Rhinolophus ferrumequinum: one gene and its partner. The protein of the gene in region 1 binds, or shares a complex with, the protein of each later gene. Links are inferred from orthologs where the notes say so. Each region holds a gene or a part of one and is shown in the gene's direction. Other genes may lie near its edges.

Region 1 (7,211 bases):
CTTTAGTTATGGTAGCTTTGTAGTAAGTTTTGAAATCAAGTATTGTGAGGGTTGTAACTTTGTTTTTTCAAGACTGTTTTGACCTTTCAGGGAAACTTGAAATGCCATATGAATTTTAGTATGGATTTTTTTAATTCTTAAAAATATTCCGTTGGGATTTTTCATAGGATTTGTACTGAATCTGTTTATCAGTTTGGGCAGTATTATCATGTTAACAATATTAAGTTTTCCAATTCATGAACACAAGATATCTTTCCCTTTCTTTAGATCTTTAATTTCTTTCAATAATATTTTATGGTTTTATGTAAAAGTCTTTTACCTCCTTGGTTAAGTTTACTCCAATGTATTTGAAAGTGTGTGTGTGCGCACATGTGTGTATTCTTTAGGATATTCAATATATAATTGACATATAATATTCAACATAAAACATGTGTGTATTCTTTAGGATATTCATAGCGTGTCATCAGCAAACAGAAATAATTTTCTTTTTTTCTTTCTAATTTGGATGAGTTTCTGTGCTCGTTTCGGCAGCACATATACTAATTTGGATGAGTTTTATTTTCTTTTTCTTGCCTGGTTATTCTGGCTAGGACTTCTACGGTAGGACTGCGTTGAAAAGAACTGGAGAAACCAGACAGCCTGTCTTGTTCATCATCTTAGGGAAAACACTTTCGGTTTTTCATCACTGAGTGTGATGGTCACTGTGATTTTTCATATATGACCTTTGTCATGTTAGAGAAACTCTCTCTATTCTAAGCATATTGAGTATTTTTATCTTGAAAGAGTGTTAGATTTTTGTCAAATGCTTTTTCTGCATCAATGGAGATGATCATATGTACTTTTTTGCTTCACCTATTAAAACCCAATATTTTGAGTATTTTGTTTGGATTTCTTGAGGTTACGCAGGAAGAAGGTCAATCATTCCCTGTTATGCTATCTTGGCTGGAAGCAGAAGTTTCTCCAATACATTTTTTTGAAATCTCTCCATGTCGATGTAAATCAACTTCATTCATCTTTTAATGCCCTGTAGTATTTCATTGTATGACTATATCACATTTTACTTATCTATTATTGTTGGACATTTGTGTTTCTGTTTTTGCTACATGTTATAAACAATGCTGCCCTCTGGGGCAAATATCCAGAAGCGGAACTTCTGGTTTGTAAGGCATGTTCATTGATAGGTTCAACAGATAATATCAAATTGCTTTTCAAAGTAGGTGTACCCAGGTTTACCCCCATCTTAACAGTATAAAAATACTATTTCCCTACCTTATTTTCCAAACATCATAGTATCAGACATTAAAATTTTAGGCAATGTGATAGGTGAGAAAGGGTAGCTTATTATTTTTATTTCCTATTTTTTGAGTATTAGTAATGTTGAACATCATTTTCTGTTATTGGTCCTATATTTTACTTATTGCCTGTTTATATCCTTTGCTCACTTTTCTATTGGATTATTTCTATTTTTATTATTAATTTGTAGATATTTTTTAAAAAATATTTTTTTGATGTTATGTCTTCTTTGTCACTATTGCCAATATTTCTTTCAGTCTGTACCTTGCTTATAGTTTTACCTGTGTTGTTCTTTCTTGAAAATACATTTTTTAAAAATGTTGATGGGATCAAACGTAAGTAATCTTTTCTTATGGTTTTTATTTTTTATAGAGAAAATCTCCTTTATTCTAAGGTTATAGAAGCAAATTTCTATTATTGGGGAAAAATCTATTAGTTTGTTGTTTTACAGTTAGGGCTTTAAACCTTATAGAAATTTATATTTTGTAAATGCAAGCTAGAGATCAAATCTAATTTTTTCTATACAAAGAATTGATTGTTCTAACTTTATTTGCTGATAATCCATCCTTATTACGTGCTACCATCAGTGATTGTCCACTATGAGCTAAATTCTCTATGAGGTACGTTATATGCTGTTCCTTGACTAATTATCCCATCAACCCTGCAAGGAAGGTATCACCCCCCATTTTTCAGGTGGAGAAACTGAGGCTCAGAAAGGTCACATAGCTAGCAAGCGGTGGAGGCAGAATTTGAACTCTGAGTAGATACAGAGATAGACAGAGATGGGACTCAGTGACCCTGGCCTACTGAGAAGGGACAGTGGGCCTGCAGGAATCCTTGGGGGACAGGAACGGTTAGATCAGTGTGTCTCAGCTTTCGTTCTATTGATCTTATGAACTGGACAGTTCATTCTGTGGGTGCGGGGGGACATCCTGTGCACTGTAGGATGTTTAACAGCATCCCTGGTTTCTGTCTATTATACAGAAGTAACACCTTGACACGCCTGCTCCCCACCCTTGACCTCTGGCTGTGATAATGAAAACTATCTCTAGGCATTGCCAAACATTCCCTGGGGGACACATTGTTTCCTCTTAAGAACCACTAATTTAGGGCTGGCCTGGTGGCTTAGGTGGTTGGAGAGCCGTGCTTGCCGAGGTCGCTGGTTCGATTCCCGCATGGGCCAGTGAGCTGCGCCCTCTACAGCTAAGACTGTGAACAACAGCTCTCTGGAGCTGGGCTGTGGAGAACAGCTGAAGGTCTGTGTCCACTGACGGGGGAGCACAAGGCTCATAATACCAGCATGGGCCAGGGAGCTAGACTGAGAAACAATGGCTTGAACTCAGAGGTGAGGGGGTGGAAGCGGAAGAAGGGTAAACAAAAAAGAACCACTAATGTAGAAAACAATTATTATTAAGTATCAATATCAATGATTAACCATCATTAATGCTAATGACACGGACACTAATTATCCACAGTGATTAGTGGTCATATTTGTCCTTGGGCTGTTGCTTCTTTCTACCTGAAGGGCAGGGCAGAGGGTGTATCTAGCTTTCCCTCTAAGTCACCTACTCGGCTCTGCTGTCCCAACCTGCAAATCCTCACTCGGTGTGCCACGGAGGAGCGCGTTTCCAACCCTGAAAAACACTGCACTCAGTCCGTGTACCGGCTGCTCACACTGTGCCCCAGGGAGCACATGCCACCACCTGTGGGAGGGCAGGGGGGTCTGGGCTTTGGGCTGGTTCATGTTTTCTTTTCAATATGTTTTTCTCCAACACCTTGTTGCTGATGAATACAAATGCAAAGATACAACCCTGTTGATGTTTTATCCTTAATCCAGACGTGGCAGGGGCGATGATATCCTTCATCATTCATGATTTGCATCAGCTGTAAACATGTCTGGTGTCACTGGTGTCCAGTCCAGCCAGCTCTGGGACATGCAGACCTGCTTCCAACTGCCAGGACCTCCCAGGTGCTGGCAGCTTAAAATGTGCTTTTGAATCTCAACATGCTGGACAAGATCCAGGGTAACGTAGAACGCTGTCCGCGTTTTAAAGTCTAAAACTGCAACAAAAATGATCGGGTAACGAATGTTGAAAACGATTTGAGTGGCTGTGAAAGTTCTCCTGTTTTTGCTCGTGACAACAGATAACAGTTTTCTTGCTCCATTCAGAATGGCCAGCGCCATGAATCCCCTTGAAAGCCTCTGTTGAGCCTCAATTTCCCCTGTTTTCCCCCAGGACTTCTGGAGAGTCAGCTCCCCCCCCCCCAACCCCAAGCCAGAGCCGAGCTATCTGCACACTTCACCTCGCCATCCAGGCTGCTGTCCCTTGTGAGGGAAAGAAATGATGTCCTGCTGATGACACCTTCTGGCCAGCCCACGCTGGTTGCCCTGTAACCATGCTTCCTCCTAGGCTCATTCTCCAAATCCCAGCCCCCACTGACACCCATACCCACTCCCGCTGGGTCCCCACAGCCCTGAGCCCATCCTCTATAGCCCTGGGACAAGGCTGAAGCTCACCAACCAAACCGGGGGCTCCCTGAGGACGGGCCCAGGTCTCAGTCTTCTTCTCTGAGCCACGTTCATTTTGAGGGGCTCCCTCCAGTGTGGACCAGCAGGGGCTGAGCTTAGAGAAGAAAATGGTTAAGAATATGACCTACTGGGGCAAGAAGTGTCCTGGGGCTGTCACCTCCCGGGGCCCCCACTATCAGGATAGACAAACAGGCTGACTGACAGAGAGGATGGAAGTAGGGGGACTTAGCCCCTCCCTGCTGGGGACATGGAGTCCCACGCCAGGACAGGGCCTGAGCTGTGCACAGCGTCCTGCAATCCTGGTGAATATTCAGCCAGTTCTGTCCCCTTTGCTGGCTCCTGCCTATGCAAACAACCACCTAGGAAGGAGAGAGAAGAAAGCTGGGGCTCAGTGAGCTGACTGAGGGAGCCACTGCTGACCCCCACCATGGACAGCAGGGCACGGGGTGCCTGCAGCCTCTGCTTTCTGAGCTCATTACCAATTGTGAGTAGCCAGCTCAGACCCTCCTGCCTCTCACTAGGCTCCAGATCTGGGAGTTACGGGCTATACGGGGGTCCAGCTGGAGCTTGCTGGGATCCTCACTGCCCTTCCCAGAGCAGGAGTCTCCCTACCAAGAAGGTGGCAGGCTGTGGCTTGGAGAACTCCTAAATCCCATGGCTCTTCCCTCCCTTCCCCATCCCTTCCCTCCTCTCCCTTTCCCTGCCCTCTCCTTCCCCTTCTTTCCCTCCCCTCCCCTCCCCTCCCTTCCCCTTCCTTCCTCTTTCCTTCCCTCTCCTTCCCTTCCCTTCCCTTCCTCTCTTTCTCCCATGAGATCTTCTGAAGACTTTTGTTTAATGTGTCTTAGAACTTACTTCCAAGAGATGAAAAAGGGAAACTTCCATCTGACCTCCATCTTTTCTTCCTCCCTCCCTCCTTTCTTCCCTCCCTCCCTTCCTCCCTCCCTCCTTCCATCAAGCCCACGGGTCAGTGCCGTGAGCCAGGCCCTGTGCTTACCAGCAGGCACACAGAAACAAATCCGGCTTTGTCTCTGTCCTCAGGTCATTTGGGCCAGAGAACTCAGAAGGAACACTCAACGGGCTTGGCTCACCTGTTAACTTTTCTGCAGGTCTTGGGCCACGTGCACCCAGAGTGTGACTTCATCACCCAGTTGAGGGAGGATGAGAGTGCGTGTCTGCCGGCAGCAGAGGGGGTACCCAACGCCACCCTGGGTACGGGGCTTGGGAGGGAGGAGCTGGCTCCTTGGGTTCCTTTATCTCTTCCAGGCTCATCTCTTAGGATGTTGGACGGGCCTGTCTCCCAGGCTGAGTCTGCACTGCTCCCCATCTCTGTATCCAGGCTGCCCAGGACCTGGGATGGGCTGCTGTGCTGGCCGATGGCAGACTCTGGTGAGGGGGTGACTCTCCCCTGCCCGGATTTCTTCTCTCACTTCAGCTCAGAGCCAGGTGAGGGTTTGGGGTGTGGTGGTGGGTGGGCAGGGGAGGTGATTTCGTCTGGTGATGCCGGGATGTGGGCAGATACAACCCTGGCTTGGGGGGTGGGGGGAGGCAGACCTGGGTTTCAACAATGTCCTCTCTTTGGGTGTGACCTTGGGCAAGTCAGTGAAACGCAGCTTTCTGACCTGTGACCTGGGGGGAACAAGCTCATTCACTGCATAGGCGGGAGGATTAGTGAGCCAGCAGAAGTGCTGGACCCACGGCCTGGCACCAAGTACGTGTTCCCTGGATGGTAACAGGAGGGCTGGCTGTGGGGTGGAGCGGGGCAGAGCCTGTCTGACCGCGAAGATACTACCAGCTGCCTCGTGGGAGGAGGGAAGGCATCGCTCTGCCTCCCTCCCTGGCCTGGGAAGCTGCGCTGGACAGTCCCTCCAGGAGCAGGGGGGCCTCCTTTCTCCCCCCGGCTGTTAGGATGCTGGGGGCCCAACTCACTACTCTGCCTCTCAAAGGAATGGTCCTCTCCCTTTAAAGATGGTGATTCTGAGGCCAGAGAGAAAGGCTTCAGAACGTGTCCCAGGCAGGCTGGACCTGGAACCCAGGCGTCTACAGAGAAGGCTCCTCTCTCTCTGCCGCCTGGAGGGGCTGTCTGCGCAGCCTGCCAGGGTCACTCATGGCCCATGGCTCCCATCCCTTCTGGGGAGAGGGCAGGGGCTGTGACCAGACCTCTGCTCCCCCCCACCTCCACTTGCCTCCCAGGGGCTGTGCAGCGGGATTGCACGATCGCAGGCTGGTCTGAGCCCTTCCCACCTTACTCTGTGGCCTGCCCTGTGCCCTTGGAACTGCTGACCGAGGACGGTAAGAGGCTCCAGGCGTCTTGCAGGAAGGGTGGCCATGGAGGTGTTTGGGGGGTGGGGTGCACCTCACAACTGTAGGGCAAGCCCATTCCGTTGTAGCAGCAGGTTGGAATATCAACTGCAGCAGATTTCCAGAAGATGGCAGTGTCTGGAAGAGAGACTTTTGCTAATCTGTTCAAGGGTGATAGGTGGGAGCGTTGCTTGGCGGGAGGGAAGGCAGAGGGCAGGCCGGGGGATGTGCTGGAGACCATCTCCTTGGCATCCCCTCTCTGTGCCCTCATCTCCAGGGCAGAGAGTTTGGGGTGGTTCCAGGGAAATATATGTTCCCCGCGCTCCTGGGCCAGCTCCTTCCCTCTCTTCCTGTCTGTGGAGCAGTGTGTATGGCTGTGGTGTAGGCAAGTGAGAGAAACTGCTGCTCAGAAGTGGTCGCAGTGACCCCGAATAAGCCGGCACGCCCCACACCTCCAAACTGAGCAGGGCTTGCTTCCATGCCCATAATCTTATATTTCTTTCCCCTCAGCCTGGTAAAGCATGAATCTGACCATTTTTTCAGGTGAAAAGACTGAGTCAGACAGGGGCTCGGATTACCTGTGTCCCTCAGGGGAGCTGGGCCCCTGCTCCCGTCCCTCGGCCTGCGCCCCACATCTCCACCTTCAGGGTCCAGGCTGGACTTTGATTGAGCCAAACACTTGGTCATGGAAAGAGCTTTTCCCTGTGGTTGTTGCCGGCTGTCCCCTTTCTTTGGGGACGTCGTGGTGAGCAAGTTGGATGTCAGTAAACAAGCCCAGTTTCCTCCTGAGCTCCTGTCATTCCCCAGGGATGCGGAGTTTCTGCTGCTGCCTCTCCCCAACCCCAGAGCAACAGTGGGAGTGAAGCGTCTCACTCCCTGTCACCGCCCTCCCTGTCACCAGGAGGTTAGGCGGAGGACAGGCTGAAAACAAACACTTCAGGCCATGGAAGGAGCTTGCCATGGCCCCCACGGACACCCCAGCCTCAGATGGGCAGTTTCAGGGTAGAACAGAGAGCCTCACCGGGTAGACTGTGAAGCCTCCCTTTCCCTCATGCTCAGTAGCTGAGACTTTCTCCATCTCCACCCTTCC
Region 2 (7,260 bases), on another chromosome or scaffold:
CATATGAACTTTTTAAAAGGCACATTTATCTCAGAGAGTAAATGAACCTTTGGTGTTTCACTGTTATGAGTGCTCCAATTACAAGAGTAGCAGTATTACATACTCTCTGTTCCTCTCAGAATCATATTATAACTTTGTACTCTGTCTGCTCCTTCAAAGATAAAGGGAGAGTCCAGTATAAGTCTTAATTTATACGGGGCAAACCTCTTTCCCCTATTAGGGCTTGTCAGTGTGATGCTAAAAATGGTCCTTTGGTTGACTTGTGAGTAATTGATTCTCTGACGCTGACAACGCTTAGGAAAATGAAGGTATAAATGATGGGAGCGCCACACAGCCACCGGAACAAACGCTGAGCCTAAGGTCCGTGGAACTGCAGCAGCGCCACAGAGCAGAGGGAGATCTTTCCGCCACATCTCAGGTGAGAGGGGGATGGCCCTGGGGGCTGGGCTGCATGGGACCAGGAAAGTTGACCTTCTCACCAACTCAGAGACACCAACTCAAAGAGGCCCACCGCCATTCTCTTTGCCCATGGACTGGTGAGTACATTTAGGTCCCTTGTTAGGGGCCCTGAAACATGCTTTTGATGGTTGGTGCCATTTTGAGGTCGTCTGGGATAAGTGGCAGGCAGACAGACATGTCCAGGTGTCTGTCGGAGGTGGGTGAGGTTCTCAGGTGTGTGTGGATAGGCTTCTGGGGCAAGACGTGAGCTGGCTAGATTCCCCTGTCAACAACGGGACTCGGCCATGGATCAGAAGGGAGCCACGCGGCTGTGCAAATCAATACCGTGCATTGATCGCTCAGAACCGATGCAACGTAATTGCCTGGAAATTGATACCAATTTGCTTTCTTGCTCAATTGCAGCCGCACTCCTTCCTCTGGGTTTTAGACACAATTACCTGCCCTTGGAGCACTCCATTACCCCCACACTTGTTCCCTAATCCTTGCTTTAATGCTCCTGAAGTATTTGTGTCCTTCATCATAAGACACCTCCCTACCCTTTCTGAAAGGAGGTGGGGTGTCGCTCTTCTGAGTGACTATTCAAGGTACTTCCTTGTTAAAAACTTAGATCTCCATCGACTTGCAATACGATTGGTTTGTAAAATGGATCAGGGTTCTTAAATTACAAAGCAGAATAGTTAAGAAAGGTAAGAGATTTTTGTTCCCTGAGGGCATTTGAGACCTGACCTCTGTGGTTAGCTGAAGGCAGGCACATCTGCAGAATTCTTGTGGCGTTCTTGCCATGAAGGCTGGCGAAAGGTGCCAACTGAACTAGATCAAGTGCCCATTCACCCTGAATCCAGGCTTGTAACCACTGCGGAGAGCTAACGGATGTGCATAATGATAGATAATAAACCTAAAATGCTTTGGGGACTATCACGGAGTAGTGGCTGATGTTGTTGGATTTGTGAATTCTCGCTCCTTTGAATGGTCATGTGGCATGTGTCGGGCAACAGCTATTTCATCTATTCTTATCATAGCATAAGCTGGAAACTTCTTGTTGTTTCCCATCTTTGTCCAATGGGATTTCTCAGCCCCGTGGATTGGGTTCTCACAGCCCAGAGGTGGCCGTGGTGACCTGACCCACTCCTGGGACACATGGCTTCTGGCAAATGCTGTGCCTCTTGGTTGATCAGACTATGCAGTTGCTCAGCCTCATTCTGAATGAGCAGTAGTTTCCTGGAATTACTGTGATTTCCGCCCCCCCAAAGTCTGCCCTCTTGCCAGGTTATTTTTCAACTCCTTAAAACCATTGCGTGTGCACAGGGGTGCACCCACCAAGCAGGTGTTCCTGTTTGTCCCCCTTTTTCCTTCTTCAGAGACCCAATGACAAAACACAAAAGCGTTCAGTTTTATCGGGCCCATTTCCCACGTGTAGGTGATGAGTTCTGAAGGGCCCCATGAACGAGGAGCACTATGAATAGGGTATTGTATCAGGAAGGCTGCTGCGGAGAACAGGAGGTCTGCTGGCCTGGGGATTTTGAGGCCCATTCTGAAGGGCCCTTTCTGAAACTAATTTGATGGAGGACTATGGAAAAAGGCCCTTTTCCTCTCTGGGCTTGTTTCCTCAGCTATAAAATGAAGATGGTGATGCCTGCTCTGGAATGTGAGTGTGAGGGTGGGCTGTGTGGGCCAGGAGGGCACAGGGGCTGGGAATCGATTCTGCCAGCCCTGGGACAGGGGCAGGAGGTGGGGAGGCTGAGGGAGGGCTTAGGCCAAGAGCAGGGGTGTGGGCTTCGCTCTGGAGAAAGTGAGGGGGTGGGGCAAGGGCTTCTGAGCAGAAGAGTGGGGTGAGTAGGGGCCTGGATATGCCCAGGTCTCTAAAAGATCAGCCTCCAAGAAGGCGAGAAAGCCCAGGCTGCAGCTGGGAGACTGAAAAAGCAGTGGTTGTGTCAAGGGGCCCTACTTGCCTCCAAAGATCTCCCTGCTTAGGAAACTCTGGCCTTGGACCAGATCAGGAAAGGGGGAGCCACACGTGTTATGGTATGATGAGCACCGAAGGCTACAGATCCTTGGTCTGGGGACCAAAGGCCTAAGTCTGAGGCAAAACACATCTAAAGGGCGTGTCATGTGGATGAAAGTGCAGAAGCTCTGGATGGATGTCAAAGGGGCAGCCCTCAGGGGCAGATGCCACGTTCTCATCTTTTGTCTAGCCCCAGTCCTTACCAGAAGAGTGAAAACTTAACAAGTATTTGCAGGATAAGGGGACATGGACTTGACACGATGAGAAAAACCTCCTAACAAGAAGAGATGGCTGGAAGTAGGACAGACTGGCTCGGAGATAGTGAATTCCCTCTCACTCACTGGCAGCAAATACTTGAGCAGGAACTGGAGGATTAGGTTGGGGTGGGGGTGGGGAGTGGGGCTCATCAAGAAAAGGCTGATGGTGGAGGCCTAAACAGCTGCTCCCTCCAGCTCTGGAGGTGCCGTGGTCTCAGGCCACATCGAGCCGTCCCCGTGGATATTCCCTTGAGTCTCAAGGTATCCCTGGGTTAGTCAGGACCTGGTGTCTGGGCGAAGGGGAATGATGCTGTGAGAAGGCAGGTGAGCCCAGGAAGGAAAACGGGTTTCTTCCAGTGCGGGCCCTGCCTGCCAGAAACCACTGCTCAGCAGGACCAGGGAGGAAACGGAGCCATGGTGGGGTGATCAGGGGAAAGGGGCTGCCTGGGCCTCTGGATGGTCTTTATCCCCGTGGCGTGGATAACCTGCTGAGAGAGGGGGTACCATGGGAGATGGGAAGACCCAATTCCTGGGTAGCTGAGTCACACTAGGGCAAGTCTGGGTTGACAGTGGAGGCACCACTCCAGCTGAGGTGGGTTCTTCCCCTCCCTGTTGCCTGTTCTTCCTCTAATTGCAGAGCACGGTGTCAGCAGGCCCCAATTAAGGGTAATTACGTGATCTATGAGATAATTTTGCGTGGCTCCCCAGGCTCCTGGGTCTCTTCCAGGGCTCAGATTGTTTGGTGAAATCTAAGCGTCTGGAGCAAGATTTATAGCCTTCGCTTCCCTCCAACTCCACCCAAAACCAAAACAGCACATGCCGATATTACTATCTGAGCAGGTTTAATATTAAATCATCACAGCAAAAGTTTATGGAGAAATTCCCATGGGCCAGGCTACTCACTTCAGGTGCCTCATTTCATCGCATGCTTACAAGGACCCTATGCAGTAGGTATAGTTATCGACTCCATTTTGTGAATAGGGAAACTGAGGCCCAGGAAGGAGAAGCCACTTGTCCTGGGATACACAGCTAATGATGGCAGAGCTCGGATATGAACTCAGATTAGTCTGACTTGGAGCCTGAGCTGTCAGTCCCGATCGCTATGTCAATGTCACACTGTGGGGTGGGGGGTGACGTAGGGGACTAAAGGAAGGTGCTTGCATCTGCTTTATCCCTTGCTGAGGCCTGAATTCCATATTTAATGCCTTAAAGGAAGGGGCAGTTTCACCATTATCTTTAATTTTCTCTTCAACCCTATCAGGTCAGCAAGGGAGCTTTATCATGCCCATTTTACAGATGGAGAAAATGAGGTCAGAACTCATGACTGGCAGAGGCTAAACTTGAACTCAGGTCTGTCTGACTTCCAGAGTCTGGGTTCTTTTTCCTAACCTACAGCTTCCAAAAGACAAGGACCAAGGCTTGCTTGGAGCCAAGCCCAGGGCTGGGCACAGCCAGCAAAGGACATCCCCGTGGCTATGGCTACATCTGACCTTCCCTCCTGTCATTTTCCAGGTGCCACCACAGGGGTGAAAAATGCTGCTCTGGGTGTTCTTGCTCATGATCCTCACCCTCAGCAGCGGCTCCCACTGCTCCCCACCCTCCTTGCCCCTCAGGTAAGCAGTCCTGCCAACAAGACCTGGATTCCTGCCACCCCAAAGCCATCCCTGCTGGTGGGCGGGTGCAGAACTGAGCCATCAGCTGGCCCCAGCCATCCCCTCAGGCAGCCCGTACTGCCCATCTCTGGGAGGGGGGCACTCTGAGCTCCAGAGAGGTCACCCTTGGGTCCCACCCCCTCTGGGGATGAACAGGGTAAAGGGCAACAGGTGACTGGTGACTGCAGCCTGTCTGTTCCCTTGCCCGAGTGTGCCATGCTGCCCGTTGACTTCTGACTCCTCCCACGTAGGATGCCCCGGTATGCCGATGCCATCTTCACCAATGGCTACCGGAAGGTGCTGGGCCAGCTGTCTGCCCGCAAGCTGCTCCAGGACCTCATGAGCAGGCAGCAGGGGTAAGCAGGAGTTCCTGTGATTCCTTCCATACCCCACGTGCACCAAGTTTTATCTCTTCCCTTGCACAGCACCTGTCATTTCTGGGCTTGCCATAGCAGAAGGGCCCCAATGTCAAACTTTAGCTTACCTCTCACTATTCAATGGCCATTGAACACCTACTATGTGCTTCTCTCTATTCTGGGCTCCAGTGGGAACCATGCCAATGGTAGTTAGTACTGGGTCACAACTCAGAAACAAAGGCTCTGCACTGAGCCATTTACATACACTTGGCACAGCGCTGAGCACCCAGTAAGGCCTTGTTAGTATTAGCCGTTGTCCTTCATTTCTTGTTTGCTCTTTCTAACCACCTTCCAAAGTAGGAACTCTTACCCACTTCGTCCAGAGCCATTAATAGCTTCTAAAGGACACACACCAAAGAGTGGCAGCGCCGGGATCCAAACAGCCTGACTCCACATTTTTCAGGTTTTATTTTGAAAAAATTCCAAATTGATAGAGAAATTGCAGCAATAGTACAAAGGACTTCTATGTACCCTTCCCTATATTCAGTAATTCCTAACATTTTTATCGTATTTGCTTGCTCTATAACTTAGATGTATATCTACACATACACAAACACATGTACACCTGTATTACTACGGTTATTATTAACATTGATATTATTTTGCTGAACCACTTGAGAGTAAATTGCAGTCCTCGTGACCCCTTACCCTTCTTCTGTGGGTGTCTCCTAATACCCAATGAAAGGACATTCTCTTACTTAATCACAGTACAATTATCCTTTAGAGTCCACACTCAAAATTTACCAGTTGACCTAAAATATCCTCTATAACGATTATTTCTTTTCCTGACCCAGGATCCAATCCAGGATCCTGAGTGGCATTTCGCTGTCATGTCTCCTTAGTTTCCTTTCCTCTGGAACAGTGCCTTCATCTTCCAGGCCACTGACATTTTTGTTTAGTGAAGGCCAATTGTTTATGGAACGCCCCTCATGTTGGATTTGCCTGATGCTTCCTCATGGCTAGATTCAGGTTATGCCACAGGAGTGACGTTGTGTCCCTCTCAGTGTCTCGTATCAGCAGGCACATGATGTCAATTTGTCCCATTATTGGTGATGGTAACTTTGATCATTTGGTTGACACAGTGTCTGCTAGTTTTCTCCTCTATAAAGTTAATATGTTTCCCTTTGTAATGAATAAGTAAACGTGTGTTTCATAGCCCATGCTCTTCACTGCTATATAGACTGCCTTCCTAAATTGCTGCCAAATCTGATTCAGTTGGCTGGCAGCATTCATACCAGATCCTGGAATCGGTGTACGGACACACCCTGCTCTGCTCACTTTGTCTTGGTCTTTCCCAGGCCTCTCCACCTCAGCTACCCAAATACGAGCCTCAGCTGTTTCTCTTTTTCTAATCAAATAGAGAAAGAAACCAGGAGCAAAGAGCAAAGGTAAGGGCTGGCCGTCAGGCGGAGAGCATGTGGGCAGACCAAAAGCAGATGGCATTGGAGAGCATCCTGGTGGCCCTGCCACAGAAGCAGAGGTAGGAATACGTGCATGTGTGTGTATACATATGTGTATGTGTGTACACGTGTGCATGGGTGTGCACCTAGGGAGCTCAGAGGTTTCCTCCCACGAGGGTCAGCAGGAAAAGGAAAGACTCTCCCCTCCAAAGGCGTGGGGCTCTGCCAAGCAAACTGGAAACGAAGTTCGTCCTTACACACATCAAGAACTGGAGGAAGAGGAGAAAACGTGTGATAACAATTGTATCTTATCCATTACTGTATCTCCAGTGTGTTGCAAGAGGCCAGGCTCAGCGTCTGTGTCCAAAAACATGACTGACTCAATAGTTCTGGGAGAGGACCCAGGAACCTGAATTTTAACACATATCCCAGGGGATGAATGATCTGAGAAGCATGCCCTGGATCCCTTGCCAAGTTCACGAAACTATAAAACCAAAGACCAGCCCCACCCAACACCCTCAGAAAGATGTGTGTGGAGCACTCATGAGGGGGAGAGATGAGAATGACAGTCATTCCCCATCTTTCTGCCCCTCACTTTCCCACTGGAAGTCATGGAAGATCAGGAATGAGTTTTCCCATCTTACAGAGGAGGAAAACTGAGGCAAAGAAGGGGCAGCAGTTGCCCCTAAGTCAGGGACTGGCAGGCCCAAGACCTGCTCTGCTTCCCTGGAGCGCCTGCCCAGAAAGCCCTGCTTCACAGACAAAGTTTCCCCAAAATGACACGACTGTTTGGTGAAACTCTGCTATATTTTTGAGGCCAATTTTCAACTGTGAGTACAAACATGTCCCAGCTTGACTCTGCCAGGCATTTCTGGACCTATTAAGCAAATCCACTTCCCAACAGAGCTCTCTCCGTGTGCTCCCTCACCCTCTTCCCAACCTAATTAGACACCAAGAGCTCAGAGATCTCTCCCCAACTACAGTCCTGTGGAGATACAAGCAGTGGCAGGCGACAGGCAGGCTGCAGGAGGGGTGAGAACCAGGCTGCAAGGGAGGCAGAATGCACACCTGGGC

The links.
Region 2: the proteins of GHRHR (region 1) and GHRH are in contact, whole or in part, in a cryo-EM structure (PDB 7CZ5), measured with the Homo sapiens proteins. The link is inferred for Rhinolophus ferrumequinum from reciprocal best matches to the Homo sapiens genes GHRHR and GHRH. Residues at the interface, in NP_000814.2 of Homo sapiens: Leu119, Ala120, Glu122, Glu123, Phe126, Ser127, Val129, Lys130, Tyr133, Val179, Lys182, Leu186, Phe187, Asp190, Thr192, Asp193, His194, Cys195, Phe197, His210, Thr213, Phe217, Ala271, Cys272, Asp274, Leu275, Asp276, Trp282, Ile285, Ile289; in NP_066567.1 of Homo sapiens: Tyr32, Ala33, Asp34, Ala35, Ile36, Phe37, Thr38, Asn39, Ser40, Tyr41, Arg42, Val44, Leu45, Gly46, Gln47, Leu48, Ser49, Ala50, Leu53.

Annotation. Positions count from the first base shown.
Region 1 is NC_046303.1:11,587,691-11,594,901, reverse strand, and holds the start of GHRHR (growth hormone-releasing hormone receptor), read left to right. Parts: upstream 1-4,208; 5' UTR 4,209-4,250; coding exon 4,251-4,307; intron 4,308-4,929; coding exon 4,930-5,039; intron 5,040-5,159; coding exon 5,160-5,266; intron 5,267-6,013; coding exon 6,014-6,109; intron 6,110-7,211.
Region 2 is NC_046306.1:18,664,183-18,671,442, forward strand, and holds the start of GHRH (somatoliberin), read left to right. Parts: upstream 1-4,251; coding exon 4,252-4,331; intron 4,332-4,621; coding exon 4,622-4,726; intron 4,727-6,146; coding exon 6,147-6,263; coding exon of another isoform or gene 6,264-6,266; intron 6,267-7,260. UniProt on the Homo sapiens protein: GRF is released by the hypothalamus and acts on the adenohypophyse to stimulate the secretion of growth hormone.